Linked DNA regions of Xenopus tropicalis. The protein of the gene in region 1 purifies or fractionates together with the protein of each later gene. This does not show direct contact. Links are inferred from orthologs where the notes say so. Each region holds a gene or a part of one and is shown on either strand. Other genes may lie near its edges. The genes, in order: arpc5l, arpc2, arpc3 and arpc1a.

What was found.
Region 2: the proteins of arpc5l (region 1) and arpc2 fractionate together in Homo sapiens (co-fractionation; 7 studies listed by BioGRID and IntAct, with this or other methods). This does not show direct contact. The link is inferred for Xenopus tropicalis from reciprocal best matches to the Homo sapiens genes ARPC5L and ARPC2.
Region 3: the proteins of arpc5l (region 1) and arpc3 purify together in Homo sapiens (affinity purification with mass spectrometry; 7 studies listed by BioGRID and IntAct, counting the BioPlex papers as one, with this or other methods). This does not show direct contact. The link is inferred for Xenopus tropicalis from reciprocal best matches to the Homo sapiens genes ARPC5L and ARPC3.
Region 4: the proteins of arpc5l (region 1) and arpc1a fractionate together in Homo sapiens (co-fractionation; 7 studies listed by BioGRID and IntAct, with this or other methods). This does not show direct contact. The link is inferred for Xenopus tropicalis from reciprocal best matches to the Homo sapiens genes ARPC5L and ARPC1A.

Annotation. Positions count from the first base shown.
Region 1 is NC_030684.2:28,257,643-28,262,534, forward strand, and holds the start of arpc5l (actin-related protein 2/3 complex subunit 5-like protein), read right to left. Parts: upstream 3,223-4,892; 5' UTR 2,889-3,222; coding exon 2,743-2,888; intron 1-2,742. UniProt on the Homo sapiens protein: May function as component of the Arp2/3 complex which is involved in regulation of actin polymerization and together with an activating nucleation-promoting factor (NPF) mediates the formation of branched actin networks.
Region 2 is NC_030685.2:85,244,441-85,249,538, forward strand, and holds the start of arpc2 (actin-related protein 2/3 complex subunit 2), read right to left. Parts: upstream 3,173-5,098; 5' UTR 3,076-3,172; coding exon 3,002-3,075; intron 128-3,001; coding exon 93-127; intron 1-92. UniProt on the Homo sapiens protein: Actin-binding component of the Arp2/3 complex, a multiprotein complex that mediates actin polymerization upon stimulation by nucleation-promoting factor (NPF).
Region 3 is NC_030677.2:162,793,328-162,798,137, reverse strand, and holds the start of arpc3 (actin-related protein 2/3 complex subunit 3), read left to right. Parts: upstream 1-1,635; 5' UTR 1,636-1,842; coding exon 1,843-1,848; intron 1,849-4,810. Other genes in the region: gpn3 (GPN-loop GTPase 3), read right to left, coding at 1-20, 192-359, 637-745, 1,462-1,509. UniProt on the Homo sapiens protein: Component of the Arp2/3 complex, a multiprotein complex that mediates actin polymerization upon stimulation by nucleation-promoting factor (NPF).
Region 4 is NC_030685.2:41,716,470-41,720,782, forward strand, and holds part of arpc1a (actin-related protein 2/3 complex subunit 1A), read left to right. Parts: intron 1-1,779; coding exon 1,780-2,002; intron 2,003-4,313. UniProt on the Homo sapiens protein: Probably functions as a component of the Arp2/3 complex which is involved in regulation of actin polymerization and together with an activating nucleation-promoting factor (NPF) mediates the formation of branched actin networks.

The DNA.
Region 1 (4,892 bases):
AAAAAGTCATTTTTACTTTTCTTTTCTCATGTATTTCCAGCCTGATTTATTCATTCTCACTAGTAATTACTCTTAAGTCTTACATTGTTAGAGATCCTGGCTTTGTTTTACAATAAGCCCGCAGGCTCATGGTACAAACTCTTCTTTGGAATTTTTCCACTGTTGACAGACAGATTCTATTAATACGAATAACAGGCTTCTCCGATGGGTTTAGGTGTTTCTCCAGAGTGACAAACCACGGGCGAAAATACATCCTGTGTGCCATGAGCCTTACAGGGGCAAATCTTAACAAACCGTATAACATCAGAGAGCTGTGCTGCATGAAAAATGTGAACTTTGAAGCAGAAAAACATTGAGGGCCAAGGGAGATTTAAACAGCTAGCAAAATCTCTCACCCTGTCCCCAGTTCAGATGCAGCCAGCGGGCAGCATGCTGCCACCAGATCCTTGGTGCCCTTGGCATGGCCCTTTGTGGCTTGCCCACAAATCCAGGCCTGAAAATAAGTAGCTGTGTAGCCACGGGGGCTGCCATTCGAGTTGAAACTGGGTTAGATGCCACAGATACAGAGCAAATCTGATATGCAATCTGTGCCTTTTCTTGTTTTCAAGCTAAATACCTACCCCCATAGCTACACAGCAGCTTATTTATTTAACAGTAGTAGAGTTTGTGAAGCAAACACACAAGTTTTACCAGTGCAGGGCAGCAGTACGTTATATATTTCAATACCTTCATCATTTTTTTTTTTTTAATGTTACTTTAAGAGAACCCACATCACCAACTTATTTCAAAGAAGTACCTTTTGCCTAAATTTTATAAGTAACATTAGAAAACTATCAATGGCCTGGCATTTGGACATTCTAAGCAGTATATTTCTCTGGCTTATGAATCAATCAACACCCTATAATGAATTTATTGTTGGAATTCACTTTCTGTCTGCGCTCACAGGCTGCCGACATGCCGGTCAGTCCACTAGTAAGAAGGAATGGATCCACTTGCATTGGCCTGTTCCCATTTTTACGCAGGTGGGGAAACAGCCCTGTGTATCACTAACCTAAGCCAGCACTAAGGAGACCTAAAAAAGTTAACTAAAATAGGGCTGTTTTTTTCCTCCAGGTTGATATATTTGATTTTCTCTGTTAAAATGTAATAATACAATTTAGATTCAGCGTTCTGCTATATTGTTAATGCAGGATTCAGCTGAATCTAAAAATGAAGGATTCAGTACATGCCTTTATTAAAATCAATTATAAATACCGCAACTACAGTCATACCTACAAGGTGTAGCTAAAATGGCCGATTGGATTTTTCTCTTCTAACAAACACAAGCCTTGGAGTTGTAACCATACATCCAGACTGCTCAGCCCCTAACTAGCACCACCATGTGTACAGCCATAATGTTTGCTAAAGAATGTAAGCAAAGTATCAATAAACCTGCAACACTGGATTGCATGGGGCCAGCAATTACCAGTCTTTCCCACTCACAATGATTGACCAGCCTCTTGTTCTGTCACAGCCTTTCATATCATTGCTTTTTATAACTGAATCTTTGTTATCAGCAAAGGATGAGTCAATGCATATTAAACTATGTACGTACCCCCAGCTGTTACCCACCACTCCCAGGACAAGGGAGGCACGAAGAGTGATACTGGCAAATGTGCAGAAACAACTGCTAGAGGCAGGGGCATAGCTGCAAGTTACTTAGCTCCACCGTAACATTTTTAGCTCCCACTCGCTTTAGGGTGAAGACACACAGAGCTACTAGTAGTAGCTACTTTTTCATGGCTACTTAACTCCAGAAAACACCCTGCCATAGACAATACTGAGACTTGCCTCTGCTAAAACGCACACATAGAGACAATTACAGGTATGGGACCCATTATCCAGAATGCTCATGACCTGGGGTTTTCCAGATAAGGGGTCTTTCCGTAATTTGGATCTCCATACCTTAAGTATGTTAATAAAATTATTTAAACATTAAATAAACCCAATAGGCTTGTTTTGCCTCTAATAAGAATTAATTGTATCTTAGTTGGGATCAAGTACAGGTACTGTTTTATTATTACAGAGAAAAGGGAATCATTTAACCATTAAATAAACCCAATAGGGCTGTTCTGCCCCCAATAACGGGTAATTATATCTTAGTTGGGATCAAGTACAGGTACTGTTTTATTATTACAGAGAAAAGGGAATCATTTAACCATTAAATAAACCCAATAGGGCTGTTCTGCCCCAATAAGGGGTAATTATATCTTAGTTGGGATCACGTACAGGTACTGTTTTATTATTACAGAGAAAAGGGAATCATTTAACCATTAAATAAACCCAATAGGGCTGTTCTGCCCCCAATAAGGGGTAATTATATCTTAGTTGGGATCAAGTACAAGGTACTGTATTATTATTACAGAGAAAAATGAAATAATTTTTTAAAATGTGAATTATTTGATCACAATGGAGTCTATGGGAGACGGCCTTTTGGTAATTCAGAACTTTATGGATAATGGGTTTCCGGATAAGGGGTCCGATACCTGTATCAGTAAATGATCAGCATTGTCTATTTGAGTAGCCATGACAAGTACTAGTAGCTACATGTGTCTTCACCCATAAGAAACATTTTTCATTAAAAAAATAATAAACTGTTTATCAGTCCCCCCCCCCCCCTGACAAGAGGGTTGCAGGTTAAGCATTCCAGTAATTACAGCATGAGCGATGGCCTAGGTGTGCAGTAATACAGTAAAAGGATATTGCCTGATCAGACTGTCCACCTCGGCCTCGTCGGGCCCCTGAGGCTCGGCCGGTTCCTCCTGCAGCTGATCGTCAACAAATTTGTTCTCGTCGTACTCGTCTATGTCCACCTTGCGGAAGCGCGACGACAGCGTGTTCTTGGCCATGTTAGGCTAGCCGGCCGGCTGCAGCACCCACAGGAAGGGGGTGTGACACCCTGATAGGGTGTGAGCGCAGGGAAGGTGACAGGAACCGACTGCCACTACAAACACTCAATGAGCCTGACAGCAAAACGCACCCCCTTCAAAAATGCGGCCACTGATCGCTAGGGGCTACAGTAAGGCTCAATGAATTCTCTCAATGAAGCTGTGTGACAGGAATTGGGGGCTGAGAGAGAGGAGGGAAGGGGGCGGAGGCCAATGAAAAGGGGGTGTTGAGGCGCTTACTCCCTGGCTAGGTCGGACGGCAGCTACTCAGGGTGGGGGTGACCAGGGAGGGAAGTGGCGACTGAGAGGGAAGGGGGCTTGGCCGCTGTCACGGACACTCGCTTCCAGTCCAGCCGGCTCCCTCCGCTTCCGGTGACTCCGGCAGGGCGGAGCGTGTAGCGGAAGCGGAATGGCGTCACTGACATGAACGCGTGAGAAGCGAGAAGCCAACATGGCGGCCTCTTGTTGCTTAGCAACTCCTCAGGCCGTCACCCCAGGGGCTTGGGGGACAGTAGTTAGGGGCATAGATGTCAACATTCGGAAAAGAAATAACTGTATGGAGGAGGCATGGTGCCTTAAACGAAATAAACTTACATTGTGCCACACTACTTGGGAATTGAAATGCGTGCTGTAGTCACACAAGGCAGATTTATATGTAGCCTTAAAGAAGGTACATCAGTGAATTGCTAATTGGATATTAAGGGTCAGGATTTTAAGATACAGAAAAAAGTAAACATATGCTCAGAAGTAATTCGTAAATCTCACCCATAGTATAGATGGGCCCAGGTGCTCATGCCCCAGACCTTCAGCTAGAGGGAGCCATCATGGGTATCTCACAAACATTGAGAGAAGACAAACAAATAAATAAGGTTGAGGAGACTGCCTCACGCAGACAAAAGCAAACAAAAGGAATTCTGGGAACAAATTCCAGACTCTTTAAAAAAATCCCATTTACATGGGTTTATCCTATAGGCTACAGCTCACCCACTGGGTTTGAAGCTGAAGCCAGGACAATAGCTGATCAGATTCCCAACTACAGACCGGTTTCACCCTTATTGGGGGCTCATCAGTGTAGTGCAGGGTTTTCTGATCAGCTTAGGTAGAGTCACCATGTGGTTCTACAAACAAATAAATAAGGTTGAGGAGACTGCCTCACACAGAGAGAAGACAGGCACTCTGGTAGTTCAGTGAAGAAAAGCGGTTGTCCACGAGAAAGTAAAGTAAAATCACAAAACTTTTATTGAGCTAACACATGATACGTGAACTACCAGAGTGCCTGCCTTCTCTCAATGTTTGTGATATAGTCAGGATTTTGAGACCAGTTTCAAAGGGGTCATCTTTACATGGAAGCTAGTTAGTGCCTGTGGGTGGTGAATTAGTAGGTCAGATTGTTGGCAATATTATATAAATCATTTTTTCAAGGGTGATATGGCATTGGCAATTGGACTATCCACTATATCAGAATGGCAGTAAATGACAGCGCCAAAAAAATACCATGATTTGGTCATTACTAGGTTTGTACTTTCCTGTTAATTTACCTGCCGATCATTACAAGTAATGCCCTAGAATGCTGACTAAAAGCTGCAATTATGAGAGTTGTTCTTGGACATATGAATTGCTTTCTGGCTCTTATGACCTCCATATTGTAATATTGATTATTATTTAACCTAGAAAAACGCACTCATATCTTAAACTGTGTGTGCATTGTAATTGTCTGCGAGCACTAGTATGGTGGCCAAACCAATTGTATCTAAACTCATTTTCCATTCTTGCCTTGTAAGCCCACTGCCGTGCATTCACCTCTTCAGCTTCAGTGACGCAGAGAAACTAATACCTAGTTCCACAGCACTATGTAACATCCCAATATTCTAAAAACTGTATTTAGCCAGAGAATAGTGTGCGTATTTAATCACATTGCATCCACGATTCCTGGACAACTGCACTCTTTATCTGATTTGATCTGAC
Region 2 (5,098 bases), on another chromosome or scaffold:
CCCTGATTGGTTGCTATGGGTTACTGCCCACTGTTGATAAAAGAGCCCCACTGTATCAGTCGAAGAGAATGGAGTTTATAAATTGGCTTTACCTGCAAAGGTCATTTCCACCGCCTCCGGCTTGTTCCTGTAGGACAGACACACAGACACAGGGTTAATACGGCATTACACTTTGAGTTAACTTTTGCAAAAAAAAGTTTGCAATTGGTCTTTTTTTTCATTTGCAGTTTTTTAAAATTTAATTTGGAGGGCAACCCCCCCCCTTTCTGCCCCTATCGGCAAAATGACAAGAGAAAACTAACCGACACTATATCTGGATTATAGAGATGTCTCCTCTGGATTGGGCAGCAGTTTGGGGGTGCAGGAAAATCTAATGGGGGGGTCAGTATTGGGTCTGTGTGGGGAAAGCAGTATATATTTAAACCCTGACAAATAAACTGAGATTCTGTCGCCCAATCTGACCGTCACATGACCAGCAAATTAACTTTTAGTATGTTATAGAATGGCCAATTCTCAGCAACTTTTCAATTGGTCTTCATTATTTATTTTTTAATCATTTGCCGCCTTCTTCTGACTTTCCTGCATTCAAATAGGGGTCACTGACCCCGGCAGCCAATGAAAAAAAAACCAAACAAACTACTTCCCCATGAGGCTACAATTTTATTGTGTTTGTAACTTTTTATAACTTGTTTTTGTATTCAGGTTCTCTACTGACCATACGCCAATCCCTTGTTCTGCCACACCATGGTTGCTAAGGTACTTTGGACCCAGATAGCTGCTAAAATTCCAAAATTGAGAGCTTCAGAACAAAAAGTGAAATAAAAAGTGAAGACCAATTGCAAACTGTGTCACAATATTACTTTCTACATCATCCCAACCTCTTGAAGTCTAGAATGGATTCTTCAGCCAAGGCAAGTCATATGGCAGCTCCTAATCATAATTATGCATACATTTCCATGCTAACTAGGATATCATAGGGTATTAGGGCCACACACATTTATATCGGACACTAATAAGCAGCAGGGTCCAGTCTGGTTCATGCCCCAACAGGCAATTTTACTGGTTACCAGTAGAGCCGGGCTTGTCCCAGCATGCACTGCAACGCTAGAGGAATCTTTACTGATAGGACCTGCCAGGACAGGCGCAGAAATGCACCCAGGATGAGGAAGTTGGGCCCCCACCCCGTATATGGTAGCTCCTTCTCTGAAGTCTCACAGTGGGCGGGGCCAATAGCAGAATACAGATATATATATATATATATATATATATATATATATATATATATATATATATATATATATAGTGAGAGAATGAATCATATCTCAGCTCTGTATTCTCCCATCTCTGAGCTCAGTGCAGAGCGTGAAGTTACCACATCCGATAGCCTCACGGTGTCTGCAGTGGGGGTGTAGGGGGCAACAAGAATGCAACAGGCACCCACCCCGAGGGGCCACTTACACGGCCTGGAAAGGTTTAACTGCAGCTCTCTGCATTCTCTCTCAGCAAAGACACATTTATAGTGTAACTGACACTGCTACAATGTATCAACATTCTGCAACTTTCTCATAGGCAGAGAGGCTCAGTCTGCAGGGGCCCTGGGGTGCTGGAAGGTAATAGGATCAGCAGCTGGAGGGCCACATAGCACTAACTCTATCAGTGGGGCAGCCCTTTCCTACCCCCGTCTCACCTTCCTTGCACCCCATATTATGTTCATAACCCGGCCCTGCTCCCAGCCCCACCCCTTGAGCCCTTATTAGAGTGTGAGCTTCATTCCCACCCAGCCTCACACTGTAACCCCCCCTAAGCCCCACATAGTACCCCAATACCATTTCCCTATTTTCTGCCCTGTCTCCCTTATTCACTGTACCCCAACTTTAATTTCCAGAAGCCGCTGTTAATTCTTGCCCCTCTTACACCCCAGCCCTGATATGTACCCCACCTTAGACTTCACCCCATATTTATTCCTCCAACTTCTGCCCTGCATTTCTTTACCAGTCCCCACTGTTACCCCAGCTCAGGTATGTACCCCAAGTCCCACTCTGTTTGCCCCAGCTCAGGTATGTACCCCAAGTCCCACTCTACTTGCCCCAGCTCAGGTATGTACCCCAAGTCCCACTCTACTTGCCCCAGCTCAGGTATGTACCCCAAGTCCCACTCTACTTGCCCCAGCTCAGGTATGTACCCCAAGTCCCACTCTATTTGCCCCAGCTCAGGTATGTACCCCAAGTCCCACTCTATTTGCCCCAGCTCAGGTATGTACCCCAAGTCCCACTGTTTGCCCCAGCTCAGGTATGTACCCCAAGTCCCACTCTATTTGCCCCAGCTCAGGTATGTACCCCAAGTCCCACTCTATTTGCCCCAGCTCAGGTATGTACCCCAAGTCCCACTCTATTTGCCCCAGCTCAGGTATGTACCCCAAGTCCCACTCTATTTGCCCCAGCTCAGGTATGTACCCCAAGTCCCACTCTATTTGCCCCAGCTCAGGTATGTACCCCTAGCTCTACTCCTCTTCCTACCCCAATCCACTTCCCCCTATGGGATAACTAGTAAAATAACGTAAAACCGTGTGAGGGCTCCGAAACATAAGGAATTGCCCATTCTCACCATACTCATATTAAAACTTTTAATCGGTCAATGTCCAGCTGGGCCCCCACCCATCCCGGGCCCCCACCCATCCCGGGCCCCCACCCACCCCGGTCTCAGTCACACAGCCGGCCGCCCCCTCTATACACCGCCAGCACTTACCCCGCCGGCCCTCCCGCACTCACCCCGCTCCCCCGGCCCTCCCGCACTCACCTCCCGCACTCACCCCGCTCCCCCGGCCCTCCCGCACTCACCCCGCTCCCCCGGCCCTCCCGCACTCACCCCGCTCCCCCGGCCCTCCCGCACTCACCCCGCTCCCGGCCCTCCCGCACTCACCCCGCTCCCCCGGCCCTCCCGCACTCACCCCGCTCCCCCGGCCCTCCCGCACTCACCCCGCTCCCGGCCCTCCCGCACTCACCCTGCAGCCGCATTTTCAAACTTGAGGTTGAGGGTCTCCTCTATGATCCGGTTATTCACCTCCAGCAGGATCATGGCGGCACCTGGCGGGGGACAGCAGGGAGGGGTCGGATCGGTATCTCGGTGTCAGTGTGTGACAGGCCGCCGCTCCCTGCCCAGAACCACTTCCCTCTTCCCGTACTGCAAGATGGCGCCGCCCACAGCAGCTTCCTCCGTACAGAAACATGGCCGCCTCCGTCCCGCGCCTCACCAGGCTGCGCGTAATTCCGTACCGCAACATGGCCGCCACATTACTGCATGTAAAACCAAATCATTCCCGGCGTCTCACTATTCCGCACGCCAACACGGTCGCCCACTGAGCAGATTCCTTAAAGACCCTGAAACTATCGCAAGTTATCCGCCATCTCACTATTCCGTACAGCATTATGGCCACGCCGTCAAACCTTTTGATACTGACTGGGCTCGATACACTTGTTTTCAGGGTTGGCGGTTTTCCCGCCAAATTGGGCTACTAATTTAAAGCCCAGGTGGGTTTCCAAAGTACAGATTTGGGCTATTTGTTTTGGAGCCTTGGCGGGTTTGTAGTTTGGGAACTAGCCAAAGTTTTTTCCCCTAGTGTGTCTTTCCCACTGCATGCTGGGTAATGTAGTTTGTATCTTACAATTAGCCTACAGCTAGGATTAATATAAAACTACAGTACCCAGCATGCAATTGGATAGTATAGACCAAGGTTTCTATTCTATTTAGGCTCAACCTGTCTGTTCTACAACCTGCTCTATAGGGTATGAGCTTACACCATTACTTTCTACTGGGATGTGGGCCAGTTCTACCCCCTGCTCCCTGCTCTATAGGGTATGTGATTGTACTGTTACTTTCTACTGGGATGTGGGGCAGTTCTACCCCCTGCTCTATAGGGTATGTGATTGTACTGTTACTTTCTACTGGGATGTGGGGCAGTTCTACCCCCTGCTCTATAGGGTATGTGATTGTACTGTTACTTTCTACTGGGATGTGGGGCAGTTCTACCCCCTGCTCCCTGCTCTATAGGGTATGTGATTGTACTGTTACTTTCTACTGGGATGTGGGGCAGTTCTACCCCCTGCTCTATAGGGTATGTGATTGTACTGTTACTTTCTACTGGGATGTGGGGCAGTTCTACCCCCTGCTCTATAGGGTATGTGATTGTACTGTTACTTTCTACTGGGATGTGGGGCAGTTCTACCCCCTGCTCCCTGCTCTATAGGGTATGTGATTGTACTGTTACTTTCTACTGGGATGTGGGGCAGTTCTACCCCCTGCTCTATAGGGTATGTGATTGTACTGTTACTTTCTACTGGGATGTGGGGCAGTTCTACCCCCTGCTCCCTGCTCTATAGGGTATGTGATTGTACTGTTACTTTCTACTGGGATGTGGGGCAGTTCTGCAGTTGATTCTTAAGCTATAACTCTCATGATATCTTGGGGCTGTGAGAGTTGTAGTTCAACACACCCATATGTATATCATGTCTGGGGTTAATGCAACATTCTGAATCCATTTCTGTAGTGATTTCCCAGCCGGACTGGGCCCAGAGGGAATTATCAGCCATCCCAGTAACTGGGGAGGGGGCACAGGACATGGGTAGGGATTATACGCTTTAAAAAGGCAGGTTTCCCATATATTCTTTTATTTTTTTAGAATTTTTTTTCATTGCAGATATTGGGCTATTTTTGGGCTACTTTCAAAGTGGCTTTTGGCTAGTTTTGGGCTGGTTTTAAAACTGACTTTGGCTGGTTTGGAAAAATGAATCTGGCAACTCTGCCTGCTTTGCTTATTGGCTGGAACAAAAATACTTGTAAACATATTCTGTTGAATCTAATTGCAATCAGTGCAGCCCTTCTAGTTGGATTTTTTAGATGTGTCCCTGAATTTTCAAGTGATCTTGTCGCCCTAAACTGATATATCATTTAAAGGTTTCCCAATGAAAATGATTTATAGGGATTAAAGGAGAAGGAAAGGGTAAATTACTGGGTAACCATTTGTTAGGGAGCCCCTGTGTTAATTGCTTACCTCACACAAAGGACCTGTGGGACCGGGTATAAGATAGTGGCCTGGGTAGGG
Region 3 (4,810 bases), on another chromosome or scaffold:
AGTATACAGCTCAATTTGACCTAAGAAGCAAAAGCAAAATTTTCAAAACCAGGTCTAGCACAGCAAATGTACATATGTTTTTTTTTTTTTATTTAAGTTAACAAAAGAAAATATCCATTAAATTCAACCCTTCAGAGCATCTGCCAGCATCACTAACTCATTCCAAAACAACTGTTTGCTAAAGTTCTCACCTGGACAGTCAAAAAGTATGTAATCATCTTCTGTGTGTCCAAGGCAACTCTCCAGCCAGTCAAAATTGTTGGCAAAATACTCCATACAATATACAAGGCCCCCATTTGGGCCAAATCGCAATGAACGATCCTCCATCACATCATCCACTTCAATCAGTTCCCGGATATCTTAAAAAAACAAAAACAAAAGATAATTATTTTCACTGTTAGACTAGAGAAAATGCACTTTCATCCGAAGCAATACAAATAGTTATTTCACAGGGGACTGGTTAGACTGTAGAATGCTCTACTTGGTGAAGCAGAGATAACTTTATCAAACAGGACTATGAAACATTTTTATTGGCACACCTGTGTTACATTATTCTATTTGTAATATTTAAGCAAACAGCATTTAATAGTTATTTCTCCACTAAGATAATCTGACATATGTAAGGGAGTGGTTTACCAGCCAATACAGGATAATCAAAATGCTCAGCTGCAGGATCCAGATTAACCACTTGGACAGATCGGTTCAAACTCCCACAGTGCTGCACCATGGTGGAACAATAAGTGCTCTGAAATACAAAGATTAATAATCACCATCTGCCAAAAAGATGTAATTAAAAAAAAATTCTACTGTTGTAATATATTAGACACACATAGGTCTATACATATGCCAAGGCTCCTTTGTGGCATTCTAGACTTGCTCATATGCAATACATAAAATTAGAAAACCTTATGTGATACTGACACCAAAAAAAAAAACCTTACCTATTTTTTATGTACATAAAAACTTACCTATAGGTCATGTTGGTCATATTTTACTGATAGGCTGCTTTTGTAAGGAATTGCTACTTTAAGGGCCTAAACCTGACTATTTTGCCAACCTGACTGTCCCTTTTCAACCTATTGGAATTTACAGTTACAGACTATTGCTGCACAAATATGGCAGCCTCCTTCTAGAGGTACTGGTAACGTAAAAGCATTTTAAAAAGAAAGTATACAGCTCATGCAAAGACAATGTTATAAGCTATTAAAAACAGTTTAATTGTAGGTGTCAGTATATAGTCAGTATATAGTTAGTACTGCGCACATGCCTAGGCATCCTACTGTAATTATTATTTTACTTTCTTTTAATAGCAAACAAGAGAGGTCTCTTCTTCAGGCTCCAGGAAAAACTGGAAAAGGGATCCCGAACTGCAGAAATCTTACACTGTAATACTGCTCTATAGTTACCCATTAAAGGTATGATACAAATCCACAATTTTGAGAGACCAAACCCAGAAATTACCTTTCCGCTGCCGGCGGGCCCCATAACGAGCTGTGCATATCGCGGCATTCTCCTTGCATCAGACTTGAAAACTGCCCAGGTGATCCAATAAGGAGCAAGAACACCTAGTTCCCCACAGTCCCTTTGCAATAAGACATGCCGGAAGCGCCTCCTTGCCTGTAATGCTGCCTAGTAGTCGCGCTGCTGTACTTCCGGGACGCTTTGCTACGGACGCCTCACCTTCCCTGCGATTAAGCTGGCGCCCTCTAGCGGCCATGAGACGCACTAGCTGTGCTAATGTTATAACTTCCTGCTTGCGAAGCCTTGGGTGGGACAGCGGAAGTACAGATACTACAACGTTTGGTCTCCCGGATTCCTTTCAAATATTCAGGGGTGTTAAAGATGCCGGTGAGTTTTTTCTTTTTCCTGCGTATTCTATGCTGCGTTGGAGCAGCCGGATCTCGGGGCAGGAGGCGAACTGGGGTAGAGCAGGGCTTGCCCGCCGGTACCTGCATTACTTAGAGCCAATGGCCATAATGATAAGATTCGGTGTTGCCAATGTCTGGGGCCCAGTGCAGGTACGCTTCCGCGTTAGCATTGCCGGCTGCACCGCGGCCCCCAGAATCCCTACAGCTAAGGGCTCATTGTATGTTCTGTATGTTGCCTTTTAGTCTTATGAACACACCAGCGATTGACTGTATGTGATCTCTCTGGCGCTGGTAAGGCAGAACGCCCCCACTACCGTGCCAGTGCCAGTGCCCACGTATATATATTGAAGGAATTGCCTAGAGATGAAATGAGGGTGGATCGCTGGGCTTTTTCTTTCTACCTGTTTCATGTGATCTTGCGCAAGGATCTCTCATTGCTTCCCCAGCGCTCCTATCATATGTAACACGGTCACAGAACTGCCATACGGTATTATTTTATTTGTGATGGGATAGGGGTGGGCTACAGCTAGTCAGGCCACTACTTGCCCTGCAGATTGTGCAAAAAGGGGAAGAGTGTTAGTCATGCAGGAAGTGGCTGGGGCCGACACACGGGAGGCATTTGCTTAGCTGTCAGCTACATTGCTGCAACCCAACTCATACACTTTAGCAGCCATACACAGTGTTTCATTTTCAGATTGCGAAACGTTCTATAATTAGGTAAATGCATTTTCTTTTATCCTCAGACATAAATATAGCAAGGCCTTCTAGAAAATATGTATATGATGTACTGTTCCATAAATATTATATGACTGCTTAAAAGTTGTGTGTAGATACATGAAAATGAGCTCCTAATTGCATCCAAATCCCCTGGTTTGATGTTAAATACTCTTTAAAAATTCAGATCTGTATAACCCAACTTGCAGACAAATTACTAAGCTACTGCCAAGATCGGTGTCAGTTTTTGGAACATGGCTTCTGTTGTAGAGTTTGGGATGTATTCAGAATAACCAGTAAGGGCTAAAAGGATCCAAAAGCCATCCCTTGTGGAATAAACATGATACACTTCCCCAATTGAGTTTTTAAGACTTCTTTAATGGAAAACTATACCTTCAGAACAAATACTTCACAAACAGATAATTTACTTACTTATAAGTAAATATTACCATCTAACATATTCTAGGGCAGTGCTGTCCAACTTCTGTTGTACCGAGGGCCGGAATTTTTCTTGCCTACATGGTGGAGGGCCGATAATGGAAGACACTTTTGACCACTCCCCTTTTTTAAACCACACCCACTTCAAACTACACCCATGCTATCACAAGAGCTTTTAAGACCATCCCCACATTAATGGTGGCAACACAGCAAAAACCCAATGGTTGGTGCTCACTGAAGGGATATCACCCTTAATTTATATATGAAAGAATTATATTATGTATTATACACTTAAATCGATATGCCTCCTCCTCTTCTGTGGATAGCACAGCAACCCCCCAGCATATAATTACACCCCTTGGGGACCATATAATGACTATATCCAAATGCCAAACTCCAGGAACAAACCCCTGCCAGGTTCACCTTCCACAGGCAGCATAGGGCAGGGAGAGTATGGCACACACAGGCAGCATAGGAAAGGCAGAGTATGGCACGCACTGGCAGCATAGGGAAGGCAGAGTATGGCACACACAGGCAGCATAGGGGAGGCATAGAGCAGGCAGAGTACTGCTTGCCCTACCCCTCCTGTGTGTGCCATACTCTGCCTGCCCTCCCCTGCCTATGTGTGCCATACTATGCTTGCCCTCCCCTGCCTATGTGTGCCATACTATGCCTGCCCTCCCCTGCCTATGTGTGCCATACTATGCTTGCCCTCCCCTTCCTATGTGTGCCATACTATGCTTGCCCTCCCCTGCCTATGTGTGCCATACTATGCCTGCCCCCCCCTGCCTATGTGTGCCATACTATTCCTGCCCACCCCTTCCTATGTGTGCCATACTATTCCTGCCCTCCCCTGCCTATGTGTGCCATACTATGCCTGCCCCCCCTGCCTATGTGTGCCATACTATGCCTGCCCACCCCTGCCTATGTGTGCCATACTATTCCTGCCCTCCCCTGCCTATGTGTGCCATACTATGCTTGCCCTCCCCTGCCTATGTGTGCCATACTATGTTTGCCCTCCCCTGCCTGTATGTGCCATACTATGCCTGCCCCCCCGCCTATGTCTGCCATACTATTCCTGTCCACCCCTGCCTATGTGTGCCATACTATTCCTTCCCACCCCTGCCTATGTGTGCCATACTATGCCTGCCCTATTGCACACACAGGCAGCATACAGTGACACAATGCTGGATGTGTCAGAGGGAATGTCTGAGGTGTGAACAGGGGAACAATGTGGGTGATTACAGCCAGAGCCTGAGGTGTGAACACTGCAGGGGGAAAACAATGAAGGCATTAAAAGGTGTGAACAGTACAGGGGATTACATGATTAAACAATACAGGGGGATTACAGCCTGAATCTGAGGTGTGAGCAATGCAGGGGGCAGTTAATCTCAGTACTGATACCATTTAAAGGTAATACACAAAGGTAAGCCATCAAAGCAGCCAGACAGGTGGGGGGCCACACAGAGGGGGGTCGCCAGGCCACCAGTTGGACAGCCCTGTTCTAGGGCAATGAGACACCAGTCATTTTGTTGCCCATGCAAGGGCAACAAAACAACTGAAAGACAATGCCATTACAGGCAATGCAAATTAAACAGATTGTGTGATAATGCCTTGGAGGGTACTTAAGCTGGCCATACACGTGGCGATCTGACGATGTTTCGTGCAACCATCGGTCGCACGAAACATCGTCAGATCCGCCACACACCATTCAGGGCTGAATCGGCAGGTAAGTAGGTAGAAACAATAGGATTTCTACCTCCTTCTGCCGATTCAGCGATGAAGGGAGA
Region 4 (4,313 bases), on another chromosome or scaffold:
AGCCTTAAACTGCATGCACATTTCCTCAGCTCTCATCTCTAATCTTTCTTCATTACTCACAATTCTTTTTACCCTCAACAATTGGCTATATGGTAATCCCTTCACAAGTGATGGTGGGTGAAAACTATTAGAACTCAAATAAGTCACCTTATCAGTAGGTTTACAATAAAGATCAAATATAAATGTATTGTTCTCAACTCCCACCAAAACATCCAGGAAATGTACCTTATGCCGATCCCTTTCCAGGGTAAATTGTATTTTTGGTAATCTCGTATCCAGGTATTCCTTAAACTCCAATAGTACATCCTCTGTACCCTGCCAAATAAAAAAAGATAATGTCTATATAGCGTAGCCAAACTAGAACATGTTGCCAAAACCTCTCATTTCCATAGACAAACTCATCCTCATACCAAGCCATGAATAAATTTGCATAGGCCGGAGCTACATTAGAGCCCATTGATGTACCCTGGCTCTGTTCAAAAAATTTTTCTTCAAAGACAAAATAGTTTTTAGTCAATACCATTCTCAAAAACTTCAGCAGCATTGTTGGTACCCCACTAGGTAGGTCAAGTTTATCGAGCACCCCTTGTATCACATCCATACCCTGTTCATGTGGGATAGATGTATACAAGGAAGCCACATCCATTGTACATAGCCAGACTCCCTCATCTAGCCCCTGGACAGTATTTAATTTATTGATAAAGTCAGTGCTATCCTTCACATAGGATTTAGTACCTACCATCACCGGATTAAGTACACTATCCAGTAGCATCGCAATCGGTTGAAAAATGGATGATACTCCTGCAACTATAGGTCGGCCAGGGGGATTCTGAAGATTTTTGTGTATTTTCGGAAGAAGATAAAATGCTGGGAAATCAACAGTCAAATAATCATATAGTTTCTTTGTAATTAAGCCATCATTCAAGCATTCCTTCAGGTATTCATCTAGCACCTGTTTCAACACATTCGTTGGATCCTTATTCAAACGCTTATAGTGTTTAATTTCCCAGTTGTAGCCATACTTCCTTTCTATATGCTTCCGCATCCATTACTACAATGGCTCCCCCCTTGTCCGTAGGTTTTATCACAATGGTTTTATCGGAACTTAAAGTCTCTAAGGCTTCTTTTTCAGATTTCTCAAGATTGATACCTGCCGGCAGGAGGTGCCATTTCAGTTTTTCCACATCCTTCCCTATTCTAGCCCTGAGTGCACTCTATTACTTTAAATACTGTATGAAAATAGCAGAGCTGAAAAAAGAGTTTGAAGGTGTACAACCCCTTTAAAGTGCTAGAGTTTGTCAGCTGCCATTTTTTATAAATAATTTTTGGGTTGCAGAACATGCTTTCTCTTATTGTATAATATTTGGTCATAATGCTATTACCCAGTTATCCTAATGTATAAAGCAGTGGAAATGTCAGAATTTTGGGAACAGCACATGTGCAGTTGAGCGAAAAATGCCAGCTTTGTTTGTTAGTCATTTTTCACTCTACTGTGCATGTGTGAAGACCGAAGCAGGAAAAATCGCTAGCTCACATACATCCCTAGCCGGTGCAGTTTTCTCCTAACAGGAGCACCAACCAGGGGTTTCAGGTAAGAGATTACAATCACTAGGGGGTGCCTAACATTTTGGACCCCCCCCCCCCTAGTGATTTAACCTTTCCTTCTCCTTTTAACTTTATTCCCCTGCCCCCTTTCAAAACAAAGCAATTTTCTGCTACCTATATTATAGAAGTTTGTTCTTTCATAAAAGCATTAAAAACAACCTTTGATTTTCCTAGGCATTGACTGGGCTCCTAAAAGCGATCGTATAGTAACATGTGGTGCTGACCGTAATGCATATGTTTGGAGCCAAAAGGATGGTGTATGGAAGCCAACATTGGTGATTCTACGCATTAACCGTGCAGCTACCTTTGTAAAGTGGTCTCCGCTAGAAAATAAGTTTGCAGTGGGAAGCGGAGCAAGACTCATATCTGTGTGCTACTTTGAATCTGAAAATGACTGGTAAGTTATTCTTCCTCATTACACTAACAATATGTAGAGTTACCCGACTAAGGAACCTGGAAATCTTACCTTCGAGCAACATGCTCTCAACATGTTGCTTACCAACCCCTTGGATGTTGCTCCCAGTAGCCTTAAAGCTTGTGCTCATTATAAAAATGTCTGACTTGAAAGCATGTTTTGGAAGCATAGACACCATGTGTACTGCCAGACAAAGACTCTTGTAGTCTGCCAGTCCACATTGGGCTACAAAATAGCCAATCATAGCTCTTATTGGGTATCCCTTAAGAGAACTGTTTTCCAACTTATTTATTTTTAAATTGTTCTCAGAGGTTAAGAAGGTTGGGCCTGCCTGACGTATATGTTGGTGCAGTGCTGAAAAGTACTCTAGTCTGGTGCATTTTTGATTGTTTGGGTGCTTAACAACTTGCCATCTTACATTCTTTCATGAAGGTGTTGCAGTATGCAAGATTTACCAATTGGTGCTTCACATGTTTCTGACTTACGTCATTGATCATAATAATTAGCTTATTAGTGTTATGGTCATTCTGTTTTTTTGGTATTCCACTCTAGCAATCAAGTTATGAAACTGTTTGTTTTATGTAAATGTGGTTAAAAACAAAACTATACAATTTTTATAAATGTAGTCAATAATAAATTAAAGAAGAAATTACAGAATATTGTTTTGGTTTCTACTTTTTTTTTTTTTTTCAATTCTGTGTGGCAGCTTTTTGGATAGCTACGACCCATAATCCTTTATGTTCCAGCAAAATATCACATTTAATTTTCATTTTACATTTTATTCTCATCTTTTCTTCTGGAAAAATGTATTTACCCAGTAAACCTATGTATTTTTTTAAAGGCTTTGTAAATCTCCCTGATTGTTTTTTCTGTGTAATTGTACTTCTGTATCAAGATAATGAACTCAAAGATACAAATCTTTTGGAATGTTTTTTTTTTTTTTTTTTTTAACCCTTTTACTGCCAGCCATTTTGGTCAAAGCGGAACTTGTATTGCCAGACAGTTTTTGAACATTTTGCACTGTTTCACTTTAGGGGCCTTTCCTCGGGGGGACTTTTAGTTTACCAAGGAAAACAATATATCGTTTTTTTCAGAACAACCTAAGCTTTCAAAATATGGTAGAATTTTTGTGTAATTCCAATTCTGTAACAAGATATAGGCTTCTAAATGTCTAAAAATGCAAAAAAAATCAAATTTTCCATAATATAATCACACATACTAGAAACAAAAATTATTTTATGCATGAATATACAACTGATTTGGAAAGTCCCATGTCTCCTGAACGTGCCAATACCAAATATATATAGTTTTATGGAGATTTCTCACTTGTATAGGTCAAAAACTCCCAGCAGTACACTACCAAATTCCCAAAGCACTGCTCCAAAAAAACTGCATACTTTGGATTTCAAGGCCAAAATTCCACTAACAGAAGGTTTATCCCAGAAAATTGTACATTTTTGGAAAGAACAGATTCTGGGGAATACAGAATAGGCACAACTGTCTGTCTACTCCAAACTATCAAGTCGCAATGCTTTCCTAAAGTTATTGGTTTTTATCAAAATTTGTGATTTTTTTTAAAAATCGCTTCAAAGCTTCTAGTCTATAGTATCTTATCTCCTACAGGTCATAAAGTAACCAAATAAAACACCCCAAATATGAATGCCTGGGGTCCACTGAACAGTTTGATGCCCAATATGTATAGGTTTACCTAAGTATGTGGCATGTAGGGGCCCGAATGTGAACATACCCCATATGAACTGTCATTTCTGTCATTTCAGCTTCTGCAAAATCAACACATTTACATCATTATATGTGAGATAAAGCTACAAAAAAGTACGCTCACCCCAGAAAGCCATATATTTTTGGAAAGTACACATTCCCCCGAATCTAAAATGGGTACCCATGTCTTTCTACTCCAAAGTACCAAGCCGCACAGCTTTTCTAAAGTTAGCAATTTTGATGACATTTCCAAAAATCCCCTCAAAGCTTCCACTTTGCAGCATCTTATCTCCCACATAGCATTAGGTACCAAGATAAAACACCCTGAATTTGAACACCAGGGGTCCACTGAACAGTTTGATGCCCAATATGTATAGGTTTACCTAAGTATGTGGCATGTAGGGGCCCCAATGGGAACATACCCCCATATGATCTATCATTTCAGCTCCTGCAAAATCAACACATTTACATCCTTTATGTGGGATAATGCTACAAAAAAAGTACATTCACCCCAGAAAGCCATATATTTTTGGAAAATACACATCCCCCCGAATCTATAATGGGTAAATATTTC